Cricetulus griseus: one gene and its partners. The protein of the gene in region 1 interacts with the protein of each later gene in a pairwise test. Links are inferred from orthologs where the notes say so. Each region holds a gene or a part of one and is shown in the gene's direction. Other genes may lie near its edges. The genes, in order: Creb3, Cd82, Dram1, Aqp1, Atp6ap2, Adtrp and Ormdl1.

The links.
Region 2: the proteins of Creb3 (region 1) and Cd82 interact in a two-hybrid assay, tested with the Homo sapiens proteins (2 studies listed by BioGRID and IntAct). The two-hybrid records come from large-scale screens. The link is inferred for Cricetulus griseus from reciprocal best matches to the Homo sapiens genes CREB3 and CD82.
Region 3: the proteins of Creb3 (region 1) and Dram1 interact in a two-hybrid assay, tested with the Homo sapiens proteins (2 studies listed by BioGRID and IntAct). The two-hybrid records come from large-scale screens. The link is inferred for Cricetulus griseus from reciprocal best matches to the Homo sapiens genes CREB3 and DRAM1.
Region 4: the proteins of Creb3 (region 1) and Aqp1 interact in binary tests that used the Homo sapiens proteins (3 or more experiments, as listed by UniProt). The two-hybrid records come from large-scale screens. The link is inferred for Cricetulus griseus from reciprocal best matches to the Homo sapiens genes CREB3 and AQP1.
Region 5: the proteins of Creb3 (region 1) and Atp6ap2 interact in a two-hybrid assay, tested with the Homo sapiens proteins (2 studies listed by BioGRID and IntAct). The two-hybrid records come from large-scale screens. The link is inferred for Cricetulus griseus from reciprocal best matches to the Homo sapiens genes CREB3 and ATP6AP2.
Region 6: the proteins of Creb3 (region 1) and Adtrp interact in a two-hybrid assay, tested with the Homo sapiens proteins (2 studies listed by BioGRID and IntAct). The two-hybrid records come from large-scale screens. The link is inferred for Cricetulus griseus from reciprocal best matches to the Homo sapiens genes CREB3 and ADTRP.
Region 7: the proteins of Creb3 (region 1) and Ormdl1 interact in a two-hybrid assay, tested with the Homo sapiens proteins (2 studies listed by BioGRID and IntAct). The two-hybrid records come from large-scale screens. The link is inferred for Cricetulus griseus from reciprocal best matches to the Homo sapiens genes CREB3 and ORMDL1.

Annotation. Positions count from the first base shown.
Region 1 is NC_048595.1:99,950,819-99,953,571, reverse strand, and holds the end of Creb3 (cyclic AMP-responsive element-binding protein 3), read left to right. Parts: intron 1-65; coding exon 66-172; intron 173-265; coding exon 266-334; intron 335-1,384; coding exon 1,385-1,469; intron 1,470-1,556; coding exon 1,557-1,641; intron 1,642-1,725; coding exon 1,726-2,054; 3' UTR 2,055-2,253; downstream 2,254-2,753. Other genes in the region: Gba2 (non-lysosomal glucosylceramidase), read right to left, coding at 2,453-2,731. UniProt on the Homo sapiens protein: Endoplasmic reticulum (ER)-bound sequence-specific transcription factor that directly binds DNA and activates transcription. Plays a role in the unfolded protein response (UPR), promoting cell survival versus ER stress-induced apoptotic cell death.
Region 2 is NC_048599.1:83,315,531-83,319,243, forward strand, and holds the end of Cd82 (CD82 antigen), read left to right. Parts: intron 1-159; coding exon 160-273; intron 274-1,316; coding exon 1,317-1,517; intron 1,518-1,749; coding exon 1,750-1,833; intron 1,834-2,372; coding exon 2,373-2,450; 3' UTR 2,451-3,213; downstream 3,214-3,713. UniProt on the Homo sapiens protein: Structural component of specialized membrane microdomains known as tetraspanin-enriched microdomains (TERMs), which act as platforms for receptor clustering and signaling.
Region 3 is NW_023276806.1:154,333,587-154,337,086, reverse strand, and holds part of Dram1 (DNA damage-regulated autophagy modulator protein 1), read left to right. Parts: intron 1-239; coding exon 240-417; intron 418-3,500. UniProt on the Homo sapiens protein: Lysosomal modulator of autophagy that plays a central role in p53/TP53-mediated apoptosis. Not involved in p73/TP73-mediated autophagy.
Region 4 is NC_048601.1:85,981,956-85,985,992, reverse strand, and holds the start of Aqp1 (aquaporin-1), read left to right. Parts: upstream 1-1,237; 5' UTR 1,238-1,376; coding exon 1,377-1,760; intron 1,761-4,037. UniProt on the Homo sapiens protein: Forms a water channel that facilitates the transport of water across cell membranes, playing a crucial role in water homeostasis in various tissues.
Region 5 is NC_048604.1:118,214,884-118,218,383, forward strand, and holds part of Atp6ap2 (renin receptor), read left to right. Parts: intron 1-3,220; coding exon 3,221-3,316; intron 3,317-3,469; coding exon 3,470-3,500. UniProt on the Homo sapiens protein: Multifunctional protein which functions as a renin, prorenin cellular receptor and is involved in the assembly of the lysosomal proton-transporting V-type ATPase (V-ATPase) and the acidification of the endo-lysosomal system.
Region 6 is NC_048596.1:261,457,006-261,460,505, reverse strand, and holds part of Adtrp (androgen-dependent TFPI-regulating protein), read left to right. Parts: intron 1-1,106; coding exon 1,107-1,258; intron 1,259-3,500. UniProt on the Homo sapiens protein: Hydrolyzes bioactive fatty-acid esters of hydroxy-fatty acids (FAHFAs), but not other major classes of lipids. Show a preference for FAHFAs with branching distal from the carboxylate head group of the lipids.
Region 7 is NC_048595.1:402,678,393-402,681,892, reverse strand, and holds part of Ormdl1 (ORM1-like protein 1), read left to right. Parts: intron 1-58; coding exon 59-210; intron 211-2,760; coding exon 2,761-2,896; 3' UTR 2,897-3,500. UniProt on the Homo sapiens protein: Plays an essential role in the homeostatic regulation of sphingolipid de novo biosynthesis by modulating the activity of the serine palmitoyltransferase (SPT) in response to ceramide levels.

The DNA of each region.
Region 1 (2,753 bases):
ATATATATGTATGGGTATATAAAAAATAATACACCTTGGATGACCTTTTTCCCATCTTCTCTTAGGTGGAGGAACAGGTTCTCAAACGGATACGGAGAAAGATTCGAAACAAGAGAGCTGCTCAAGAAAGCCGCAAGAAGAAGAAGGTGTATGTGGGAGGGTTGGAGAGCAGGTAGGAAAGGAAGAGCATGGGGAACAAGTTGGAAGCCTTAAGCTTTTGAAGGGAAGACACAGGCAATATTTTGATATCCATGTTATCCTCCAGGGTCTTGAAATACACAGCCCAGAACCAGGAGCTGCAGAACAAAATACGAATTCTAGAGGAACAGAATCTGTAAGCAACCATTTATAGTCATTAATTTTTAAAATCTTTTTAATGATTTTTTACTTTTATGTGCATTGGTGTTTTGACAGCATGTATGTCTGTGTGTTTGTCGGGTTCTCTGGAACTGGAGTTACAGACAGTTGTGAGCCGCCATGTGGGTGCTGGGAAATGAACCTGTGTCCTCTGCAAGAGCAGTCAGTGCTCTTAACCACTGAACTATCTCTCCAGTCCTGTCATTAGTTTAATGCTGTCTCACTCTTTCCACTATTCCACCCTTGACTTCTAACTGGATTGCTCCTAAATTCAAAAATCTGGTGGTTGGCCTTTGCCAGGTCTCAAGCTCAGAGTAATGGGGAATAAATTTCCAAGTAGCTAAGAAGAAATTAAGTACCAAGACAAAGAGGAAGTAAGAAAAGACTGAATGGAGGGGCTGGAGAGATGGCTCAGAGGTTAAGAGCACTGACTGCTCTTCTAGAGGTTCTGAGTTCAATTCCCAGCAACCACAAGGTGGCCCACAACCATCTATTATGAGATCTGGTGCCCTCTTCTGGTGTGCAGATATACACGGAAGCAGAATGCTGTATACATAATAAATAAATAAAATCTTAAAAAAAAAAAAAAGAAAAAGACTGAATGGAGGTAGTCAACATCAGAGCAGTTGCAATGGGGGTAGGAGGGGCTGAGTGGGGAAAGCATTCTAGGTGGAGAGAAGACAGTGTTTGTGTTTGCGTTGGCCCAGAAAGTAGAGAACACAGTACCTGGTGGGGATTACATGCATAGTTGATCACGTATTAAGAGAATTCTGGAAGGTATTGGCAAAGGAGCTTTAGTCAAGGCAGGGAAGTTTTTATTTTTTGTTTCAATAAGGAACCACAGGTCCACAAAGAAGTCATTTGGGGGGGGAGGGGGGATGGCAAGGAAGTTAAGAGATTGGATCCACTGCACCAGTGGAGAGAGTGGCTTAAATGGGGGTGGGGAGGAGGGTGGTAGGGTGAGTTTCATTGTGACTCAGTGCTAGACCAGGGCATGCTCACCACTGTTTCCTCTCTCTTCCCTTAGGTCCCTTCTAGATCAACTGAAGAAACTTCAGGCCATGGTTATTGAGATAGCAAACAAAACCAGCAGCGGCAGCACGTGTGTTCTGGTGAGGAGAATGGGACGGCAGATCATTTTCTTGGCAGAGATGGGGTGTATGACCCAGAGCCCTTCATCTCTTTTTTCCGTGTTCTAGGTCCTACTGTTTTCTTTCTGCCTTCTTCTTGTACCTGCTATGTACTCCTCTGACACAAGGGGGAGTGTGCCAGCTGAGTATGTTGGTAAGAGGCTGAGGACCTTTAAGGCATGGGCTGTGGTAAAGGGTGGCTTCTGTCTTGTCACTTGACAAGGCTTTGTCTCTTCAGTGTTGCACCGTCAGCTTCGTGCCCTTCCCAGTGAGGACTGTCATCAGGAGAAGCTGCCTGCCCAGCGGTCAAAGTCACTGAAGGACAGCACAAGCCAGCTGCTGGGTAGCTCAGAGCAGATGCTCCAGGCCTCCAGCAACGCTTCCTGCCTCCTACACTGCATGCCTCAGGCAGAGCCACCCCTGCACTGGACATTCCTTGATCTTTCCTCAGAGACCCCCTTCTCAGGCCCCAACCATCCCCTGAAGGCAAATCTTTCAAAGAAAGGGGAGTGGCTGCCTACCCACAGCCCTTCTTCTGTTGTCTTGCTGGGCAGGCATTCATGTTAGATTTGAGATGCGGGGTACCCTCAGCCTGAGGATTCCTGTCAGTATTCAAATAAAAAGGAATGGGGGAAAGAGCTGGCCTCTGCTCCTGTGCCCTATTAGGATGCCTGGGAGCTCAAACACACCATACTTAACAGTTTTATGGTCTTTTATTTATACTCATGTATATCTGTTGTTCCATGAATAGACTTGGAGAAATTTACTGGCCTTGAATATTTCATCCACGGAAGGAACGGGGAGGGTAAGAAATAAATAAGTGGTTCCTTGGCCCCTTTTTACTGGCACAGTTGGGTAGCAAGAAGGGAAGGGGCTTGATTGTCCTAGTGGCTCAGGGCTGCAGGAGTGGTGGGAGGGAGGAGGAAAGACCAGTGTATTGGCTGGGCTTCCACAGTTCAGGGGGATCACTCTGGGCTTAGGTTTGTCCAAGATTTCTTTGGTTCATGTTCAGGCTCTGTGCTTAGTCTTGTGCCCTGTGTGACAACTGGCCTTTTGCCCTTTTTATGCTGCTGCTGTTGCAGGGCCAGCTGCATGGCCCAGATGCTCAGCGGCCTCATGTAGGCTAGTGAGCGGAACACTTGCTGCTGGCAGTATGCCTCTGGGGTCTGGAAAGCCAGGCCCAGGCGTTCCCATACAGTGCGGTAACAGCCCTCAGCTGTCCGGAAACCTTCCCGAGTCAGACCCTGTGGGGAGAGGTAGAAGTCA
Region 2 (3,713 bases), on another chromosome or scaffold:
ACCAAATGGGCACTAGGAATTACCAGGAAGGTGGTTGAAATGCCCTGGAGCCATGAGTGTGACCTGGGATTGCTGTGGTGGAGGAGGTGGTGTGTGTCAGCATGAACAGTCATGAGACTCAGGTTCAAGGCCAGCCCTGACCCTCATATCCCTCTACAGCTGAAGCAGGAGGTGGGCAGCATGGTGATGGACATCATTCAGAACTATAAGACGAATGCCAGCAGCAGCCGTGAGGAGAGACTGCAGGAGGCTTGGGACTATGTGCAGGCGCAGGTGAGGACGGCTGGTGGTGACACAGGGCTGCACACCTGCAGTCTGATATCTGCACAGTCAGGTTGTGTGGTTATGTTGCCCCTGGGAATGGGGCACAAGTGCTCCTGGCCCCCAAGTACAGCCTCAGAGACAGCTCCTGGGCTTACAGGGCTGACTCTTGTTTGTTGGCTCTGGAAAGCTGGTCCCTTCTGGTGTCACAGAATAAGCGAAGCCTGCCTTTGCTCAGTGGGACAGATCCCGTGGCACCCACCCCAGGAGGCTCTAGCCTTTCTGTCAGAATTCCTGACACCTGCCCAAGGGGTAGGGTTGAGGGAGGAGGGAGGCAGCCTGGAGTTCATCTCCCCTGTGCATGCTTGGAGCGCCCCCTTCTGGCTGCTGAAGATCCGAGCTTGTGTGTACTAGATGCCCCAGAGGATGTCAAAATGGATACTAGTCCTTCCCGTTTGATCCCTAAAGGGACCCACAGATAGCACCTTGAGCTTCCATCCCAGAGAGGCTTTCTGCCCTCTGGACGGAAGCATTCTGTCCCTTAAAACGGTACAATTGCTCCTGTCTTCTTTTTCACTTTGGCATCCAGGAAGCTCAGGGCCAGATCTCAGGCTTGACTGTCATTGGGCTCTGTGGACCCATTTGTGCACATTGTCTGCCTCACCTTGTAGGGACCTTAGTTTCTGTTCTTCATTTGTGAAAACCTCAGATCATCTTGAAGTGACAGAACTTGGATTTGAACCCAGCACCCGACCCCAGACCCCCACCAGCCAACCTCATACCCTGTGCCGACTGGTCTTGCCCTTGAGCTCACCTCCTCCACTCAGTATGCCTGTGCTAACTGCTTCCCATTTGGGCTCTCTGCTGTGTTTGTAGTTTGTGTTACATCTTAAAAGCCTCTTGAAGTCCCTACTGATGCGCAGCACCTAAGTTCAACCCACACTCTACATCACCCCAGGGGGGCGCAGAAATGGCCAGTCTGAGTCTCCCCCTGGAGGTGGGCGGCTCCCGATGGGCTTAGTGGTGGATCCCAGCCTGTCCCCCACTCTGCACAGGTGAAATGCTGTGGCTGGGCCAGCTTCTACAACTGGACAGATAACTTGGAGCTCAGGAACTCTACAGAGAACATTTACCCCTGCTCCTGCGAGAAGACAGGGGAAGAGGACAACCAGTACATTGTGAAGAAGGGGTTCTGCAAGGTCTCCAACAGCAGCTCGGATGCAATCTTCCATGAAGAGTGGCCTGTGTACCCGGAGGTATGTCAGGGTGGGGCTGGTAGCCAGGAGCAGACCCTCCCACCCTGAGAGGGCAAGTGTTCCAGCCACTAACGCTTTCCCAGGCTGTCACTCACGCATCCTTCTCTCCTTAGTCCCCTCCCTATTTGCTCACACCCTCATCTGCAAGCATATGGGGTTCTGCTCATGAGACAGGGCTCCGGGCAGTCTCCCTGCTGCAGTGCGTGGTGGCTGATGTGGAGTATTCCCACAGGGGTGTATGAAGAAGGTGCAGATGTGGCTTCAGGAGAACCTCGGCATCCTCCTGGGCGTGTGTGTCGGTGTTGCTGTCATTGAGGTCTGTTCCTCCCCCAGCCTTCCCCTGAGCTTTTTGTTTGTTTGTTTCGAGACAGGGTTTCTCTCTGTAGCTTTGGAGCCTGTCCTGGCACTCACTCTATAGACCAGGCTGGCCTTGAACTCACAGAGATCCTCTTACCTCTGCCTTCTGAGAGCTGGGGTTAAATGTGACTACCAGCAATGCCTGGCTTAAAATGTGTAGCCCAGGCTAGCCTAGAACTCATGATCCTCCTGTCTCTGCCTCCTTCAGCAAATCCTACCAGCAGGCACCGTCACAACTAGATCCCTGAGCTTTGTGGGGTTCACATACTCCTCTCCCCTATTGTCTCTGCACTGATGGGCTGAGTGGTCCATGGGCTTCTAGAGGTGCCCTGGCCTCAGGCCATTTAGCTGTGTGACATCAGCTAGGGCTGTCCTTCTCTGGGCCTGCTTCAGCAGCCTGCCTGCCTCAGGTGGTTGTGCCTAGAGCCCGGTGTTGAGCTGGGTGGTAGGGTTCTGGGACCTGGGCCAGCCATCCTGACTTTGACCTGTCCTTTGCAGCTGCTGGGGTTGTTCCTGTCCATCTGTTTGTGCCGGCACATTCATTCTGAAGACTACAGCAAGGTCCCCAAGTACTGAGCTGCTGACATCCTCTCTGTGCTGTGTCTCTCCACCCTCAGTATCCCATGGGACCTCTCTGACTCCTTCCCCCATGGCCTGTGCTCCATCCACCACTAAGGTCTCTGGCCCATCCTGAGCAGGTCATAGCGGGGACTTTCTGGGCCTGGATCCTTCTCCCTTCCTCTCTGCTAGTATGGAGCCCCGGCTGTCCTGTGGCTTACTGTCTAGGGGGGGCTTACTGTCTAGCTTTAAATGGCTCCCAGTGTTACTGTACAGGATGGCTGGGTCCCCACCCTGAAGTCATATTATATTGTAGTAAATTCCAGGGTGGGTGGATGTAACACCATGGCTACCCAGGGACAGGCCACAGGGAAGGTTAGTACCCTGCCCCCCACCCCACCCCTGTGATAATGACACTGTCTTTGTGGGTTTTTCATGTTTCTGTGGGAGACAGAGAGAGTAGACAGTCCTTCACACCTGACAGTCCCCTCACCCCCAGCAGCGCAGCTCAGCAGGGGTTGGGGGACTGCCCCAGGCAGCCTCTAGTAAGCTTCTTGGTAAGGGACCCAATTGCTTAGGGACATGGGTCCCTCAGGTCTGGCACAGGACCCTGAATTGTCTGTGGACCCAGAGAAGGATGAGCTGGACTGATTTTTTTTGGCAGCTCTCCCTGTCCTCTGCACTAAGGGTGGGTGGTTGAGGCTGTGCCTCGCAGGGTGGGGGAGGGGCTCCATGTACTCAGCTCTGAAATCAACTATTAAAGAAGGTTTGTAACAATACAGACTGAGGAGGCGTGTCCTAAATTATGGGGTGGAGAGGACACGGGGATGAACCTGAAGGCATGATGTGGGGTTCCTGTGTTTCAATTCATCTTCACTGGTCCTTCCTCCTCAGAGATCTGGGTATATGTGCTGTAGAGAACCAGGAAGCCAGGACACTTTCTGGAGTGTCGGATTTCTATTAACACTCACATAAGGAAACTTTTTCATAATAAGTAAAGCAAGTAAGATGTGTGACTCAAGGTTTTTGAAATGGACTGTCCCTCACAGCCCCAGCATTCTCAGCCTGGACAAATTCAGAATCAAATGACATGATGAGGAAACACACACACACACACACACACACACACACACACACACACACACAGAGAGAGAGAGAGAGAGAGAGAGAGAGAGGAGCAGATGGAAGGTGGCAGGGGTGGCCAGGTGGGCACTTCTCCCACTCACCTGTGAGGCCCTGAAGCACAGGGAAGGGCAGACTCCAGGGCAGGGACCCTTGCCT
Region 3 (3,500 bases), on another chromosome or scaffold:
ATCCACCTGCCTCTGCCTCTGCCTCCTGAGTGCTGGGATTAAAGGTGTGCACCACCACTGCAGCAATGAAAACAATTTTCTGATTAGTCACCACAACATGAGGAACACTTTTAAAAGGGTCTCAGCACTAGCAAGGTTGAGAACCACTGGCTGGGAGACTCCCAGGGTGAGTGGACGAGTGCTGGCAGCTTCAGGTCAGCACTGTCCCATGGAGTAAGACCCATCTGTGATCTCCACAGGAGTTAGCTGTGCCTGTCGTCCATGATGGTGGTGCCCTTCTGGCTTTTGTCTGCGGTGTAGTTTACACGCTCCTGCAATCGATCATCTCCTACAAATCATGTCCCCAGTGGAACAGTCTCACGACATGCCATGTCCGGATGGCCATCTCTGCTGTTTCCTGCGCAGCTGTGGTCCCCAGTATCCTTTCCACGTGTCAATTGGAAGAATATGGCGAGGAAGAAGACTGTCCTAACTCAGGCCATAGCAGTAGCTAGAGGGACTGCTGAAGGTGGGGTCTTGCAGTAGGGAGAGAGACTCACTTGTGGGTAAGTGGAAGTCTATATAGCAGGGAGCAGCATGGGGTCACTGGGTAGAAGAGGACTAAGGTAGCTCAACTTCCTTGCCATAATTCTCATACAAGACACTTCAGGGCAATCAGACAGCTTGGGGGTAGATGGCTTTTAGCCAGATTGATCATACCAACTGTGAGGAGATGGGTTATTAGACTCAGTGTCGCTGTGGTACCTGATGTAAACAACTTATGGGGGGAGAAGGTTTAATTTGGGTTCACTGTTTTTGAGACTTCAGTCCATGGTTTCTTGGACTGGTGCACTCAGGCAAAGCATTATGGCAATTGGAGCATGAGGAGGCTGAATTTCTTCATTATGAACAGGAAAGAGAAAGCAAGGGACAGAGGGGAGGAAGAGAGACAGGAACAGGAGGAGGTGGGGGAAGGGGTCAGGGACATGAGTTCCCCAGCCCTGGCTAAGGACCGACCACAGCGATCTGCTTCCGATAGGTCCTACTTCTTAACATTTCCAGAATCTCCTCCAGACCCTGGCAGAACCTTTGGGGGTGGTGATGGAGACACTTTATATCTGTCTTAGTTACTTTTTGGTTGCTGTGAAGAGACACCATAACCAAGGCAACTTACAGAGGGGAGAGTTTATTTGGGGCTTATGGTTTCAGAGGGTTAGAGTCCATGACTCTCAATGGTGTGGGGGACCATGGTGGCAGACAGACATACTTGGCACTGGAGCAGTAGCTAAGAACTTATATTTTGGTCCATAGTCACAAGGCAGAGGAAGGTAACTGGGAATGGCAAGGACTTTTGAAATTTCAAAGCCCCAGTGACTCACCTCCAAGACCAAACCTCTGAATTCTTCCCAAACAGTTTCACTAACTGAGAACCAAACTTTAAAATATATGAGCCTGTTGGGGGGCCAGTCTTATTTAAACCACCACACTAACCTTAACCAGGATTTCGTTAAATTGGTTTTATATTCTAAATTTATATTTCAGTTAAATTGTTTTTTATATTGACATGAACAGATGGGCCCAGGAGAAAGGGTTGTCAGGATTCAGACTACATAGTTCAGCTAAGCGAAGAATCTTGGTCCCAGCAAGTCTGATGTTCTCTCTACACCCATGTCTAAAGCACTAAAAAGGAAAGGAAAAATTGCCAAGTGTCCATATTCTTCAGAGGACCAAATAGGAGAACAGTGTACACACTACAGAAGTATTAGATTCAAACAGACTTTGGGAATAGAAAAAAAGCAAGGACATTCCAGCCTGTTGACTTTTCCTTCCCACCGGTCATTTTCACAAGCCATATGAAAATATTTAGTTTTTTAAAAGTGTTTGGTTAAAGACATCAAATATTGGCATTGTATTTAAGGAAATAGCTTTGCGACATCTCAAGAGTCTGGACTCCGTGCCTACTGGAGACATGACAGTTTGGTTAACTCAACTTGACCTAGGATTTCCTTTTAAACTTCTGTCACTCACGACTAAGTCAACCAAAATGCATTGAGCCTTTTTGTAGTTTCGAACCTTGTTTTCAATATGAAGTTTACTTCGTTTTCTAATTTAGCCCTGAAATAAAGGAAATGAGTATTTAATCATGCTGATATATTCTGATCTAAAGGAAATGAAAGCTGGGCATGCAGGCACATGCTTATGTCTAGCTCACTGGCTTGGCAAAGGCATGAGGATGAGCCTGGGCTATGGGACTAGGGTCTTAAAGACCCGTTTCCTCCTTGTCCAGCCTCAATGTGACAGCTTTTGACCTTGTCTTATTGTGTCTTGTTTTGTCCAGTTTAGTTGTTGTCTCCTGGAGGCCTGCTCTTTTCTGAAGGGAAACGGAATGGGAGTGAATCTAGGGGAGATGAGGTGTTCAGGTGGGAAGGGGTAGAGGAAGGGGACACTGTGGTGGTGATGTGTTGTATCAAAGGAGAATCTATTTTCAATAATAAAAAAGAAAAGGGAAGCATTCCCCCGCCGTGTGTGTGTGTGTGTGTGTGTGTGTGTGTGTGTGTGTGTGTGTGTGTGCACGTGCACGTGCGTGCGTGTGCTTGCACATCTGTTGTGTGTGTGTGTGTTGTTTGTTTGAGACAGGTCTTGTTGTGTAACTTCTGCTGGCCAGTAGCCAACCAGTTTCAGCCTGGGTTTCAGTGCTGCGATGATTATAGGTGTGTGTGTGATCACACTCAGCTCCTCTCTCTCTCTCTCTCTCTCTCTCTCTCTCTCTCTCTCTCTCTCTCTTTCATGAAGTATTTAAACCAAGAAAATAAAAGTGATATGGTATTTCAAGGGTGGAAACTTCTCCACCGTTTGATCTTGTGTTAGATTGCAGAAAAAAAATGGATGCTGTTTTGCAAACAATGTAGGCCAGTTCATGATCTATAGTGGTCAAGCTCCATGACTCATCATGTCCTTTAAACTCTGAGCTCCGTGTTTCTATCCAAAAATAGAAGTTACATCAGATAGCCTAAGTATGCAATTTTGCTTTTGATTTTATTTATTATGGTTTGAGATAGAGTCTTATTCTGTAGCCCAGGCTGGCCATGACCTTCCCTCCCACACCCCACCCCACCCCCCACCCCCCACCCGCCCTTTTTTTCTCAGCCTCCAGAGTGTGGAGATTACACGTTCTTCCTCCTAGTTCTGAAACTAACTGTAAATCAGGCTGGCCTCGAACTCACGGAGATCCACCTGCCTCTGCCTCCCCAGTGCTGGGATTGAAGATGTGCACCACCACTGCCCAGCCTTGGAGAAATTTTTAATTATAAAATTTTCAACCAAGGAGGAACTGAGTCCTGACACTGAGAAATGTACTAACAAACTGCAGCCTTTGCTCTGAAGACAACTCCTTCCCTATTTCCTTGTCCTGTTTTAGTCTGAAGATGTTCATACTTTCTCTCGAAATACATTTCCTTAAATCTTTAGCTTGTGTTGACTGTAAAACTGTGTAAGTGGTGTTTGTATTGTCATAAACAGTT
Region 4 (4,037 bases), on another chromosome or scaffold:
AGCCAAGGACTAAGGTGGGAAGAGAGGGCACCTGATCATCCCAGGCCTTGCCTTGTGGCTACAGAGAGAGTCCCCTGCCCCCTGCTGTGGGTGTGGCTCATCTTCTAGCACACTCACACAGTAGGTCACTGACCAGTTCTCAGGTCCTTAACTCCAGATTCTGGGGGTGCACCGGGAGCAGGGTGGGCGCTGGATCTGCAGCATGGCCTCCTCCCCTCCTGCTGTTGGGAAGTGCCTCTGGCCTCCCTCTTCCTTTGTTTCTGTATCTCAACTCTGGTTCAGCCAAATGTCCCCTCCTCAGTTTGTGCTCTTCCTGTTTCTCAAGTATTGTTTTTTGTTTTCTGTGTTGCTGGGGTTTGAACCCGGTGCCCAGACCGTATTCTACCGCCTGAGCTACATCCCTAGCTCTTCTTGCTGTCTCCCTGTCTGGCTGGAAAACTCTCCTTCACTTTCCACTCTCACTCAGATAATGCTTCCCTCTGCCCTGTCTGTCACCCATCTCTCTGTATCTGTCTCTTAGCCATAGCCCTTGTGTGCTTCTCTTTCTCCTATTTTCAGGTGCAGCTGCCATTCCTTCTATTTCCCCAGTGACCTGGCAGCTCCATTGCCTATTAGAGAAAAAAATTGTTTGAGGATTTGGGGGAGCATTCCAACAGCCCTGCCTGGCTCAGGCCTATCCTTGTCTGCAGAATGTTAGGTGACTCCCAGAAAGCTTCCTACCCCCATCAATTGAGGCCTGGATGGTGAGGTGACATCCCCAAAGTGATATGCAGCTGCTTGGCCCAGGCCAGGACACTGGAGGCCAGACTGGCTCTCAGAACCTTGGGACTTCAGATTAGTAACTGCTCAGAGTGGGATGGGACAGGCAGGCGGGTTTGGGTGCCACCTCCAAGGAGGGCAACGTCCATCCTGAGAGTCCAGTCAACCCCTATTCCCCACCCCCTCTAGAGTGCCTGGCTCTGCCCTCAGGCACCCTTGAGCTTTGCAGGCTGGGCGGGGACACCTGGATTTCTTTGGCCCCCTGAGAAGGGCCAGCTTGGAAGAATTTCCCAAAGCCTATTAGAGCAACGGCTGCCTCCTGCCTGCCTCCTCGGGCTGGGCAGGGCCCAGGGCTGAGGCGGGTGGAGGGAACAAGGGAGGGCAGGAGGGGGAGAGGAGGAAGGAAAAAGTTGGCAGGCAGACAGCAGAGCCCTGTCTGCATCCATCGCAGAGGAGGCCCGTGTGGTGTGGGGCGGGCCAGGAGCAAGGAGAGGCCTTCCTCCCTTTGTGCTCCCCCCCACCCAGCCCTATAAATAGGCCCGGCCCAGGCTGTGGCTCAGCGCTTGGAGGGAGTTGAGCACCAGGCATCCAGCAGTTAAGTCGAGCCCCCTTCCAGCATGGCCAGCGAATTCAAGAAGAAGCTCTTCTGGAGGGCTGTCGTGGCCGAGTTCCTGGCCATGACCCTCTTCGTCTTCATCAGTATCGGCTCTGCCCTAGGCTTCAATTACCCACTGGAGAGGAACCAGACACTGGTCCAGGACAACGTGAAGGTGTCGCTGGCTTTTGGTCTGAGCATTGCCACTCTGGCCCAAAGTGTGGGTCACATCAGCGGTGCTCACCTCAACCCAGCTGTCACACTGGGGCTACTGCTCAGCTGTCAGATCAGCATCCTCAGGGCTGTCATGTACATCATCGCCCAGTGTGTGGGGGCCATCGTCGCCACTGCCATCCTCTCGGGCATCACCTCCTCCCTCCCTGAGAACTCACTTGGCCGCAATGACGTGAGTGGGGTATCCCAGGCTTCGGGGGTGGTCTATAGGAAGGCACTGGCTCAATTTGCCTACTGTGCAATGGGGACACTGAGGAACAGAGAGAAAGATGAGGGTTTCTGGTGTCATGCCGAGAGCTGGGGCTGGAACTCAGCTCTGTTGTAGGGTCTGTTTGCTGCCAGGTGCTGTGGGCATGGGAGAGCTAGATACTAATGGTTGTGCCAAAGTCCCCTGCAGAGTATCTACTGCCAGGAATGAGCTGAGGGGGCAGCAAGCTGCGTGCCAGCAGTTCCTCACCCCTCCTCTGGAGTTTCCTGACCCTCCTGTGTCCTACCTAAGAAGCCACTTCCCTCCTTGGCAGCTCTGTGCCCGAGGCAACCTCTACCTACTGTCCCAAGTCCACTTTCTCCAGATCCACATGTTTGAAAGCCATTTTTTGCAAGAATCTGAGTGTGATCTCCTTGTGAAGTTGCCTGGACTTCTGGGCAGCCCCGATCTGCACTCAGGTCTCCAAATCAACTTTCCCAGAAAGACGGGAGACAGCCCCCTTTCATTCCCCTGCCCTCAATAATTAGACAAAAGTGAAGGAACAAAACTCTCCGGAGTTGTTGGAAGAGTCTTCTAGATAGCAGTTCAGGAGAAGGCTCAGGTCTCCGGTCCTTGGCCACTGAACGGTGTGGCGTGCATGCTTATGTGTGGAGGTGGAAGTAGAGGGGTACACATGCCCACCTGGGTCCTGAACTGTGTAAGCCATTTTCAAGTTGCTGCTGCATTTGAGTGTGTAACCACTTGTGCCCATAGTTCCTGGCTTGAATGATAAGCAGATGGTGACAACTGTTCAAAATAACTGCCCCTGGGCTACTCCACACTGCTAAGTGGCGGATGGTGGCTGCCTGGTCACAGATTTTTTTCCAGCTTCTTATTAGCTCAGTGTCTATGCCAAGTGCACTTCGGTTTAATGGGGACAAGTTTAGTGGGAGTGTCTGAGTAAGGGTGGAAGGTGTCTCAGAGGGGAATAGGCTGGAATCCCTCACTAGAGGCAAAGACTAAAGGCAGAGTAGAGAAACCAGCCCCAGAGAAACGAAGCTGGCTGGACCCCGGCAGGGCAGGTGCATGGGGACAGGAGCAAGGGAGCGGTCCAGGGCTCTCGTGAGTTGAATGGTTATGGGTGAGTAGACTCCTTTCACTTTCCAGCTAAAGTGCAGGTCCTGGAGATGCAGACGGGGATGGAGGTAAAAGTCTGGTGCAGAGGGCAGCTGATGTGGCCCCACTGCAGGGATGAGTACTTCTGTGTCATAGTGACATCTCTGGATCACACTTTTAAGTCAACCTCTGCTCAACTGGAGATTGAAGATTAGCCCTGAGACTGGAGTTTAGACTTTAGCAGGAGAAAACTTGGCTGCATCGGGCACAGGGAGCAGCATTAGACAGGCCGTGTCCCTCTAGACTTCAGTCTCTCCAATAGGAGCAGGGCTAGGTGCCTTGCTGAATTCCTCTGAGAAGGCTCAAGTTCTCACTGAGGTGGGGGCTGGGGAGGATGGAAGTGATGAAGGGCCCCTGTGGGAAAGAGGTGACAGAGACTCCTAGCTCTTGTCCCTTCCAAGTCAAGTGACAGGCAAGACCTTTGCCCTTGCTGACAAAGGCTTTGCATTGTCTAATATGTCATCCAAAACAGAGGCAGAATGTGATTGCTTTGGTGGCACCTGAATCTGCTAAACCCCACCTCGGCTTCTGCACCCTCTATTTTCCAGAGTTGCCCCAGTATCTGTGTCAGTCAGGATACAGCTGAAGGAGAAGGGGCTTCAGGCTCATGGGGGGACAGCTTGGGGACAGTCACCTTAGCCTGAAGCCTGTTTGTTGTTAACCACTGAGTCTTCTTGGAGCCGAGTATCCTGAGGTTCGAGATGGGCCTTAGGTTCTGATGATGTTTCTGCTACACACATGCTACCAGCTTATATTGTTGGTCGGAGCTAATTACCAACCCTAGAAGGCCTTGGCTAAGAGAATCCTCAGTGAAATGCCACATGGAAGGGACCAAACATTGTGCTGCGGTTCCTACTACCGGTCCATACCATGGACCTTTGGCATGCAGTTCATAGTCTGGCCCCCAGCCAAATGGCTCTCCTTAGGCACTGAATCCTGGACCTGGAGACACTGGGGGATGGTCCTCGATGCCTTAGAGGGACAAGCAGTCAGTGGAACAGGTGGCAGTCACTCCTTTGTGTCCCAGGGGAAGGCTCTCGCAGCTCCTCTGCTTCTACTCCCACCCTGCTGCCAAAACCTGGGTGG
Region 5 (3,500 bases), on another chromosome or scaffold:
TGAACAGCCATTTTTCAACCAGGAAAATGTAATTGCGATATAATCCTAAATACTTGATGAGTTAAAGAGGGAGGAAATCACCAGAAATTTCTAAATTACTTAGAACTGAATAATGATAAATGTTCAGTATATTTAAAAACTGCACAGTACAGTTGAAGTGGTCTGAAGCGGAGCTTACAGCCGTGAATGCATGAACCTGCATTTAGATTTCTAAGTTTGGACATTAATGAGCTAAAGAAAGCAGAAAAGTTTTCAGAGTAAATGCAAATAAAGTAGGAAGAGAGAACAATAAAGATCAAATGGTAGATCTTTTCGCCAGGACTATTTATTTCTCTATGTGGTTTCTGTGAAGATCACCATGTATTTCATTTATGTATAAATGTAGAAAATCCGGGACACCATTTAAAGCTTAATAGCATAGATAAAACCACAAATTTGTTTTTTGAGTCAAGATCTCATGTAGTCCAGGTTGGCCTTGAACTCTGTGTTGCCAAGGCACATACTGCCAGTGGATGTGGAGCTAGGAATGGAACCCAGGTCTTCATGTATAATAGTGTCTAATAAGCACCTTACCACACTGAACATTTTGAAGCAGACTAGCCTCACTTTACATGAGCGGGAGCTATGACAAACGCTCACTTTATTAATTGACCTTGCTCGGCTACCTGGAATTTTCTTGGAAGAAAATGGAGAGATAGAAGGCTCAGAGAACAAAGCCCACACAAAAATCTAAAGGCAGAACTACCTTCTAATTCTACTTGGCAAGGCTTCCTTTTGTCAGCTAGTTGTAGTTTCAAGTGATACTGATGGAGAAATTCTTGGACAAACATGCATAGCTGCCTAAAACAGTGTGGGAAAAGTCACCATGTTCCAGTCACCCAGGCTTTTTACCCTTTGAGCTTAGCAGTCTATATAATTCTTTTTCCTTCCCAATCTGATATTTAACTCATTCATTAGCTTCTCCAGGTTGATTGCTCCAGGCATATCCTTCAGTCATTAACTTTCCTCAACCCAAGTGCTGCTCCATTAAATCAGTGGTTCTCAACCTGTGGATCTCAACCCCTTTTGGAGGTTGAATGACCTTTTCACCGGAATCACCTAAGACTACTAGAAAACACAGATGTTTACATTACGATTCATAACAGTAGCAAAATTATAGGTGTGAAGTAACAACAAAAAAATTATAACATAGTTGGAGGTCACCACGACATGAGGAACTGTACTAAAGGGTCACAGCATTAAGGAAGGTTGAAAGCCACTGCACTAGGTGAAATGAGGTGTTTCCACCCAAACCTGAGGAGGTGAGTGTTCACAAAAGGCAGGCACTTGCAGAGGCTGGTGACAACATGCTTTTGCAAGCTTGATTGCCCTTCCTCCTCTCTAGTTACCTGTGACCTCATTTTAGAAGTTTGGGAAGAGTTAGTATGCATCTTGATTAAGATAAAAGCAACATGTCTGTTCTAGTCATAGAATCCTGAAATTGATGCTTCAGTTTGGATACTGGTATTTCATCCGTAAGGTTTCTTTACTTACCTTCATTTCTGCCTGCACTGCTTTGGCATTCATTTGCTGCTTATACAGTAACCCTTTAAGTAGTAAACGGAATTACTGGAAGAAAAGTCAGCGAGATAATCTCCATTAAAACAAAACCATTGGGTACAGTGTAATTCAACCACTTGGGAAGTGGAGGCAGGAGGTTCACAAGTTTGAAGCCATGTAATGAAGCTACATAACAAGTTTGATGCCAGTTTGAGCTACTGCTCATTTAAAAATGGGATACTACTGCTTTAAAAAAATCTTTTGTGTTTGAGTGTATTGTCTGCATGGGTGCATCATGTGCATGCCTGGTGCCTGTGGAGGCCAAAGGAGGGCATCTGCCTCTAAGTGGACTCTGGGAATCAAACCTCTGGGAGAGCTAGTGCTTTTTTTTTAGCCTCTTGTTCTTTTAATACTGTAAGATCAGAGGTACTGGGATTAAAGGTGTGCGCCACCACAACCTGGCTTGTAATATCAGAAGTAAAATACTTTTTGAGAGAAAATTTTTGAATGTACTTTTTAAAAATAGAGTAGAACAAAAACAAATGTAGCATAGCATAGACATCCCCATTTTAGTGACCCCAAAAGCTAAAGGGGGGTGCTTTAGGGCATTGCTGGTATTCTGTGTCTTAATCTAGTTGGGTTAGGAGAGTGCACCCATTTGTAAATGCTTGTTAATCTCCTTACTCCAGGGTTTATATACTGTAGTATATGTATGTTGCACTTTAATATAGTCAAAGGGCTAGAGAAATGGCTCAGCAATTAAGAGCACTGGCTGTTTTTGCAAAGGACCTGGGTTTGATTCCCAGCACCCACATAACAGCCAGCTCACAATCATGTTATTCCATATTCAGTGTCCCTCCTCTGGCTTCCTCCAGCCTCAGGCACACAAATGGTACACAGACAAAAATACCCATACACATTCAATAATAAAATAAAAAAATTTAAAATTCAAGCTAAAAAGCAGCCGTTGGGGCCAGCAAGAAGGTTCAGTGAACAATGGCACTTTGCCTTGCAAGCCTGGCAACTCAAATTCGAGCCTCAGAACCCATATAAAGGCAGAATTCTCTGGCAATTCTGTGTGTGTGTGTGACGGCATATGCATACATCAAATAATAATTTTTAAGTCTTTTGATAGGGCTGGGGAGGTGGCTTAGTAGGTAAAGGTTTAAGAGAGAGAAAGACCATAAAGTTGAGTGGGTAGCAAAGTGGATACAATCTGGAAGGAGTTTGGGGAGGGGGAAAAAAAACGTGATCAAAATATATTGTCTGAAAAAACATCACAAAAAAATTGCTGGTGATTTAGTGGAGCCATAAAGAAGAATGAAAAATCATGTCATTTGCAGAAAAAGATGAGCAGAACAAGAAGTGGGAGTGTTAAGCAAAACAAGCCAGATTCAGAAAGTAAAATATTACGTTTTCTCTCATGTAGAAAGCAGACTTCAAAAAGAAAACGAGACAGGCAAAAGGTGAAGAGGGTAGGATGGTAGAAGATGGCCTCATGTTCAAAGTGTATATGGGAGCATGGACTTCATGATGAAACCTACTAATATGCAATTACTATATACCAATAATAATGAAAAATGCTTTTTCCTGCTGCGAGCCCTCTTGCTTATACTGTCTGCATGACTTTTCTTTCCGCTTTATTTCAAACAATAATTGCACTTTTACTCTTGCATTTCAGGCGGTTCCTTTTAGTCTTGACAGTGTTGCAAATTCCATTCACTCCTTATTTTCTGAAGAAACTCCTGTAGTTTTGCAGTTGGCTCCCAGTGAGGAAGTAAGTAACAAAGTTTTTATTTAAGATCCTTATAAAGAAGTGTTACTTAATGACAATTTTAAAGTAATTATATGAAAAAATCTATACAAAGTCTGTAGGTTGGAATAAATCCATAGCAGGCAGTTAACCCAGAGTTCTGGATTCTTCTTGTAGAGAGTGTATATGGTGGGAAAAGCAAACTCCG
Region 6 (3,500 bases), on another chromosome or scaffold:
TCCTCTTACAAGAGAACAGCGCTGTGCTGTCCATGGCTGCTTAGGAACTCCTGTCAAACTCTCACATGCCAGGCACTACCTTATGTATTACACATGAAATACATAGGTCGCAAACAGGTGTTTCATTCCGGTCATTCTTGCAGCCTCCTGCTGAGGTGTATACTGCCTGGATCCCAGGTCTACACCAGCAGAGTTAATAAATTGTTGGAGGTAATGTAGCTAATAGGTGGCAGACTGAACATTTCAGTCACAGAATCCTCTTCCAGATTCTATACACTTAACAATTGTAAGCTGCAGCTGAGGCGACATCATCCCTTAACACATATTTTGTGTCTTAAGTTATTTTAGACTTTGGCATCTTCAGTGCAGTTGGCTCCCAGCATTTTTAGTCTTCACTGAGACATCATGGCTTCTCTCCCAGCATTTCTTTTCTTTCCTTTGGCTCACAGAAACCACTTATATTCTATCCTCACATGAGTAAATTCTGAGCCTCCCTACCAACTCATCCATCCCTACCTAGTGCTGGATCCCTAAGGATTCCTGTGAGCTAAAGTCAGGGATAACATATAATCTCCAGGCATCCTGTTTTAGAGCGATGATGCACCAGCGCTACCCAGCCTGTGTCAACAAGACTTGGAGAGCTAAGAGAAGCTGCACAGTCCTCTTAGGTACCAAAATCAGCAGCAGCATATATCAATCCTTCAGCTGCCGGCAACAAAACTGACACCATCTTTACAGGTCTAATTCTCAGTCAGCTGTCCATCTCAAGGAAAGCAAATGAAGTCACGTGCTCACATACCCTCCTTTGCTGATGATCTGTTATAAGCTGTTATATCCTTCTATCCTTTCACCAAGACGAATCACAAAGTATTAGATAAGGGAAAGGTTGACTCATTCCATGAAAAAAAAATGTTTTATTAAAACATGTAAAAGCACTAAGAGATGACCGACTCCTTCTATATAGATCTTCCGGAATACTTTGGGTGCTGACAAACATTTGCCAGGCTGGTTTTCACCTGCTGTCTTCTAGTGTCCCACTGAACCTGAGGTGCAAATAACTTGCTGGCCTCTGTGATCCTGATCATTTTGACTTCTTGTTCATGCAGGGTCCTGTGGCGCTACTTTCAGACCGGAAACTGGGTGTACCCTGTGTTTGCCTCCCTCAACCCACTGGGTATTGTCATCTTCTTCTCAGTCACTTATATCTTGAGTGCCATCATCTACCTGCTTGGAGAGAAGATTAATCACTGGAAATGGGGTCAGTGCTTTCCTCTCATCTACAGTCCCCACAGACACTTCTTTCTTATCCATGCTCTACCCTCTACCCAAACCAAAGGAAAACTTAATCCAAACCAGAAGACCACACTGCTAGGTGCCTTTGTTCACAGAGTTCAGTGGGTCCTATGAACGCTAGAAGAAAAAAAGCCTTGTGCAAGTTGGCATTCCCTTGGAGACTCCATGTGTCTCCTTCTTCCATCAAATAATATCTTGTTTAACTCAAAGACCGACTCTTCTTTCGAAACTTTAGGACCCAAAGAACAAGGAGTTATCACCCCAGCCATGAGGGGGAAAATCCTATAAGGGTCTTCATTCACCCCAGTGAGGGCCTGAAGGACACGAACTCTTAAATGTGAGCTTCTTTTGTCCTAGAAAAATGTGACTCTCACTTTAAACTGTAAGAGATAGCTTATTGTGAGCCAAATGTGAGTGAGCATGGCCCGGTAAATGAGGATTCGGGTTGGCCTGAATGACATTCTACTCCTTCACTGAAGAAGGCACATGAACTTAAGCAGTCCCAAAACAAAGGACAGTCACAAAAGAATGCATTAAACCAAACATGGCACATTGATGGGGACAGCAGGTAAGTGGGTCTGTGGACTTCAGCAACATGGGGAAAACTCTGCTATAGGTTTCACATATTATCTGGTGACTGTTAGTTTGGGGGAGAGTGGAAGTCAGTAGTCTGTCAAGTTAATTCATTCCAAAGGTTTTATGTGACAGTCAAAAGAGATGGTAGGCCAGATGTAGAGATAAGCAACAAATAGCTATTGAAGGGAGTAAAGATATCTCAGGATAATTTTGTTACAACATTCCTGGAATTTGTGGGTGATGTTTTTTGCTTTAATTCTACAAGGAGACATGTAGAAATTCACCTTGGTTTGTATATAACAAAGTGAAAAAAAAAAATCCCCTGTAGTCACCACCCCCAACCCATTCAGCTACCAGCAGTTCTGGTCCATCAAACAGAAATGGCATCGCCCACCCCTTCTCTGAGTTTGTGGATGCAAAGAGCAGGCAGTTCCCAAGGGGCTAGAGTGAGCCACTTCTGGTCACAGGCTGAGGCCTCAGAGAAAGAGATATTCAACTTGGATTTGTTGCATTTGCTTCTCTTGGAAGATTTAGTTTATGTTCTTTTAAATAATTTATTGATTTATTTTACATTTTGATAGAAGTTTCCCCTTCCTCCTCTCCTCTCATTCCCTCCGCTACCTTCTCTCTGCCCCAACCCAATCCACTCCTCCTCCATTTCTGATCGGAAAGCGACTAAATGGGGTGTTTGCTATGAAAGTAAACATTCAAAGTGAGATGCTACAAACAAGCAAACAAAGCCAACTCAAATGCAAAAATAAAAACAAAATCCTCAAACAAGTATTTCAAACCCAGAGTTCTAGTTTGCAGGGAAATCACTGGGGGTAGTGATTGGGATTTCAAATGTACAGGCATCTAATTCCAGGAATTTGGTGGTACTTGAATTTCTGGGTAAAGATTTCTGACGACTTTCAAAGAGCTTTAATTGTAAAAAAGAAAACAGGAGGGAGGAAGTGAGGGAGAGAGGGCTAATCCATTTGGAATCGGAAGGAAAGAAATGCAGATAGAGAAAGCCCAGTTACTAAGAACAGTGGGGTTTTAGTCATTTGTATTGAGTGTTAAGATGATTAATGCTTTGAATTATTTCTTTATAAGAGTGTTTGCTAAACATATTAAAACATAAACCATCACCCTGATTTCTAGGGGCTCCCAACACCCTCTGGCCTCTGAGAGCATTCGCACACACATGGTGTATATAAAGTTACACACACACACACACACACACACACACACACACACACATAAAAATAAATACATTTTTTGTTGTTGGTGGTGGTTTTGTTTGTTTTGTTTTGTTTTGTTTTGCTTTGCTTTTTTTTTCCAACTTTTTTTTGTTTGAATTAGAAACAGAATTGTTTTACATGACAATCCCATTTCCCTTCTCCCACCAGTCCTCCCCTACCCGTCCCTTGCTTGTTTTTTGAGACAGGGTTTCTCTGTGGCTTTGGAGGCTGTCCTAGAACTAGCTCTTGTAGGCCAGGCTGGTCTCGAACTTACAGAGATCCACCTGCCTCTGCCTCCCAAGTGTTGGGATTAAAGGCATGCACCACCAACGCCCAGCTTGTTGGTTTTTTTTAGAGACAGGTTTTTTTTGTTGTGTAGCCTTGCCTGTCCCAGAACTAGCTGTTTAG
Region 7 (3,500 bases), about 300 Mb from region 1:
AATGCATATGTTTAAGGATAAACTCTGTGTTTGATACCCTCTGTTGCTTGCTTTTCAGGGTATGTATGTGTTTTTGCATGCAGTGAAAGGAACGCCTTTTGAAACTCCTGATCAGGGTAGAGCAAGGCTCCTAACCCACTGGGAACAGCTCGACTATGGAGTACAGTTTACATCTTCTCGGAAGTTTTTCACAATTTCTCCAATAATTCTGTAAGTGGTAGAAAAGTTAAGACATCATGGATTGCTAAGGAAACTGTAAACACTCTATTATGTTCTGTATTGTATGTCAGATTAGTTATCCTAAGCAATGATTTGGTGATGATAATCATTATTTGTAAAGCATCTACTGGAATCTGGTGTCTGCTTTCCTCCCAGTACCTACATCATTATTCCTTCCATTTGAATATTTTATCCTACCCATTTCTACCTAAGTATATAGGTTGCGTTGAATACAATACTATGTATCACATGTATCTTAGTTTTAACATTATCACATACAGCTTCATATATAATGAAGCAACAATGCAGTCTGGAGTAAGGAGAAAGATTTTGTAAGAAAGGTAAATTTTGAATAGATGTTTTCATAAATGAGAATATTTTCAAGAAAGGATCATAACGCAATAGACTTTTTCCCTTTATATTTATCAGATTTTATGGAAATGAGTTCGTTATATCCCTTGTAAAATTAAACTCAAATGGAAAGTCTTTTATAATTTAACAAAAGTAAATGCAATAGCAGGAATGACAGTTAGATGTCCTTAATATAGGTTTGGGCTATATTGGTTTTAAGCTATATGACATTGGCCTTGCTAGACAGACACTATGACTAGGATACTTACCTGGCCCTTGTGGACTTTGTTTTAGCCATTTTCTTAAAACCCTCAGGCTCCGCATCTGTAAACATAGAAAATTGAAGTATAATATACATAAAAATGCTTGACATATGTTGAATTTGGAATTAGATATACCAAAAAGTCAGTTAAGATCTACCTATATATACAGTCTTCCTGGTTCTCAAAATATAACTTTAACCCAAAGTTATTATTTCAAGCATTCTGATTAAATTCCTCACATAACTGAAGAAGTATCATTCAGGCCATCTGTATAGTGTTGATTGTTTCATGGTTCCTTGTGTGGCACTTGGTCAAACCTAGGATGCCCTGCAGTCTATTATCAGTTATATCACCAGCCATGATCATTTTCACAAGTACTTTCATACTTGCTTTAATTTGTCAGGTTGGTGTGACATGCTGTTAGCACAAATTTTTGGATAAAGATACAGACTCAAGCCAGCTAGAGTAACACATCCTTTATCCCAACACTTTGGAGACAAATGGGTTCAAGGACAGCCTGGTCTACATATCAAGTTCTAGGCCAGCCAGAGCTACTTAGATCCTATCTCAAAAGAAAGAAAACTGAAACAGACTCAAATCTATTACATTGGTAAAGATCTTGTGGCTCTTTTGAATCAAGAACCTGGATTAAATGAAAACTTCTGTCTTCTATTGCAGGTCTCTTTCTAATATAAACCTTAGCAAATAAATTTGTATACTGATTCTACCTGGAATTACATTTCCCTAGCGTCTTCTAGGTTATTTTAAGAGTGGGGCAATTTTCATAGCTCTATACACAGTGTTATTAAATTTCATTAAAAGAAAGTGTGATAAGGCAAAAACATGCCGAGATATATCCTTTCCTTCTGCCAGATTATAAATTAAACTGGCATTGGCAACAAGTCATTTGGCTTACTGAATACAATGCTTCAAGTATGTAAAGGAAGCATGAAGAACGATTTTGCAGCAAAAATTAAGAAGTAGTGGCTGTAAAGATTGCCCACCAGTTATAAGCACTGGCTACTCTTCCAGAGGACCTGGGTTCAATTCCCAATACCCTCATGGCAGGTCACAGCTGTCTGTAATTTCATTTTTGGGGTGAGGAGATCTCTTGTTGTCCTCTGTCCTCTGCAGGCACCAGGCATGCACATGCTACCCAGACATACATGCAGGTAAACTGTTCACACACATTAAATAGTTTTTAAATTTTTTTTCCAGGTGAGGAGTATGGCGTAAGTGGAAGATTACAGAATTTCTTATGCTAGAAAGTTCTGAAAAAGACATGTACATTCTTCTGGCAGATGTTTTTACTTGTGGAGGTAGCTGTTCTTTTCTAACCACAGTATACAAAACATCTCCCTTTATGAGAATAATGATAAAGTTAGAGGAAATGGTCTTTCTGTGAACCTGTAATAGCAAAACATATGGAATTTCCAACTGCACCTTCTGGGTTTCCAGTTTGACTGGTTATAGACTACTCAGTTAAAGCAAGAAGATGATGATATCAGAAGGGCAACTAAATACATGTTTTTTTCAAAGATACTGACTTATGCATGTGCGAAAAGGCTAGTTTCCAAAGCTCTACACCAGTTTTTCATGATCTTTGGGTAAGCCACAGAATCCCTTGAGAATACTGGTGCTTAAACCCAGGTCTTCTTTTTAGAAATCCACTGAATACAAATCTACATTTGAAATCTCATAGGCATGTGAAGACTGTCTGCTTTCAGGGATGCTAAACAACAGCATGCTCCTATGCACATTGCAGAAATGTAAGACGTGCAACTCGGTTTTTAAATTCCAAATCAAAATGTTTTAGTATCAGAATGATTTTATTTCTATGCATTTGTGTTCAGTGGCCCCCTTTTATAATATTTTTTAATTCTACATTTCGGGATGCTATGTGTATTCTAACTTTTTATCTCTGCAGATACTTTCTGGCAAGTTTCTATACGAAGTATGACCCAACTCACTTCATCCTAAACACAGCTTCTCTTCTGAGTGTACTTATTCCCAAAATGCCACAGCTCCATGGTGTTCGGATCTTTGGAATTAATAAGTATTGAAATGTTTCTACAACTGAACAAAATTCTTAGAGCTACTACGTTTCCAGTAGGGAAAGAGTAGTTAGTGAACTGCACTGCTTCAGTGATAATGTGAAATAAGAGGTATTTACATTGGAGGGCCAAGTACTGGTCCTTCATAGGCTGTCTTGAAGTGCAGAACTCCACTAAGGGATGCCTCTGTCTAATGTGCTTGGTATATTTCTGAGAGAGGCTCTACACACAGGTTGGGCAGGCCCAGCTTAGAAGTTATGGCAGTACAATGAGGGTACAGTAACTAAATCCAAAGAAATGAGGGATTTGTAAGAAACTAGGACCAGCCTATAGTGAATGGGCATTATGTTAGGGAAGGAAAACTCCAATCATTCATTTATAGTCAGTTTAAACAGACTTCTATAAAGCAGAATCATCTTGTATACAAGTTTTTATTACTGTACACATTCCCTTTATATGACATACACCCTCTTATTTTATACAAGCCCCTTCAACCTTATATGTGTACTTTCTTGGTTTTTCTGACTAAGTATTGTGTGTTGATAAATGAGGTCATGTTTGCTTTATTATATTACAAAGTTTGTGAAGGTTCACCTTCATGACTCACTCTGAT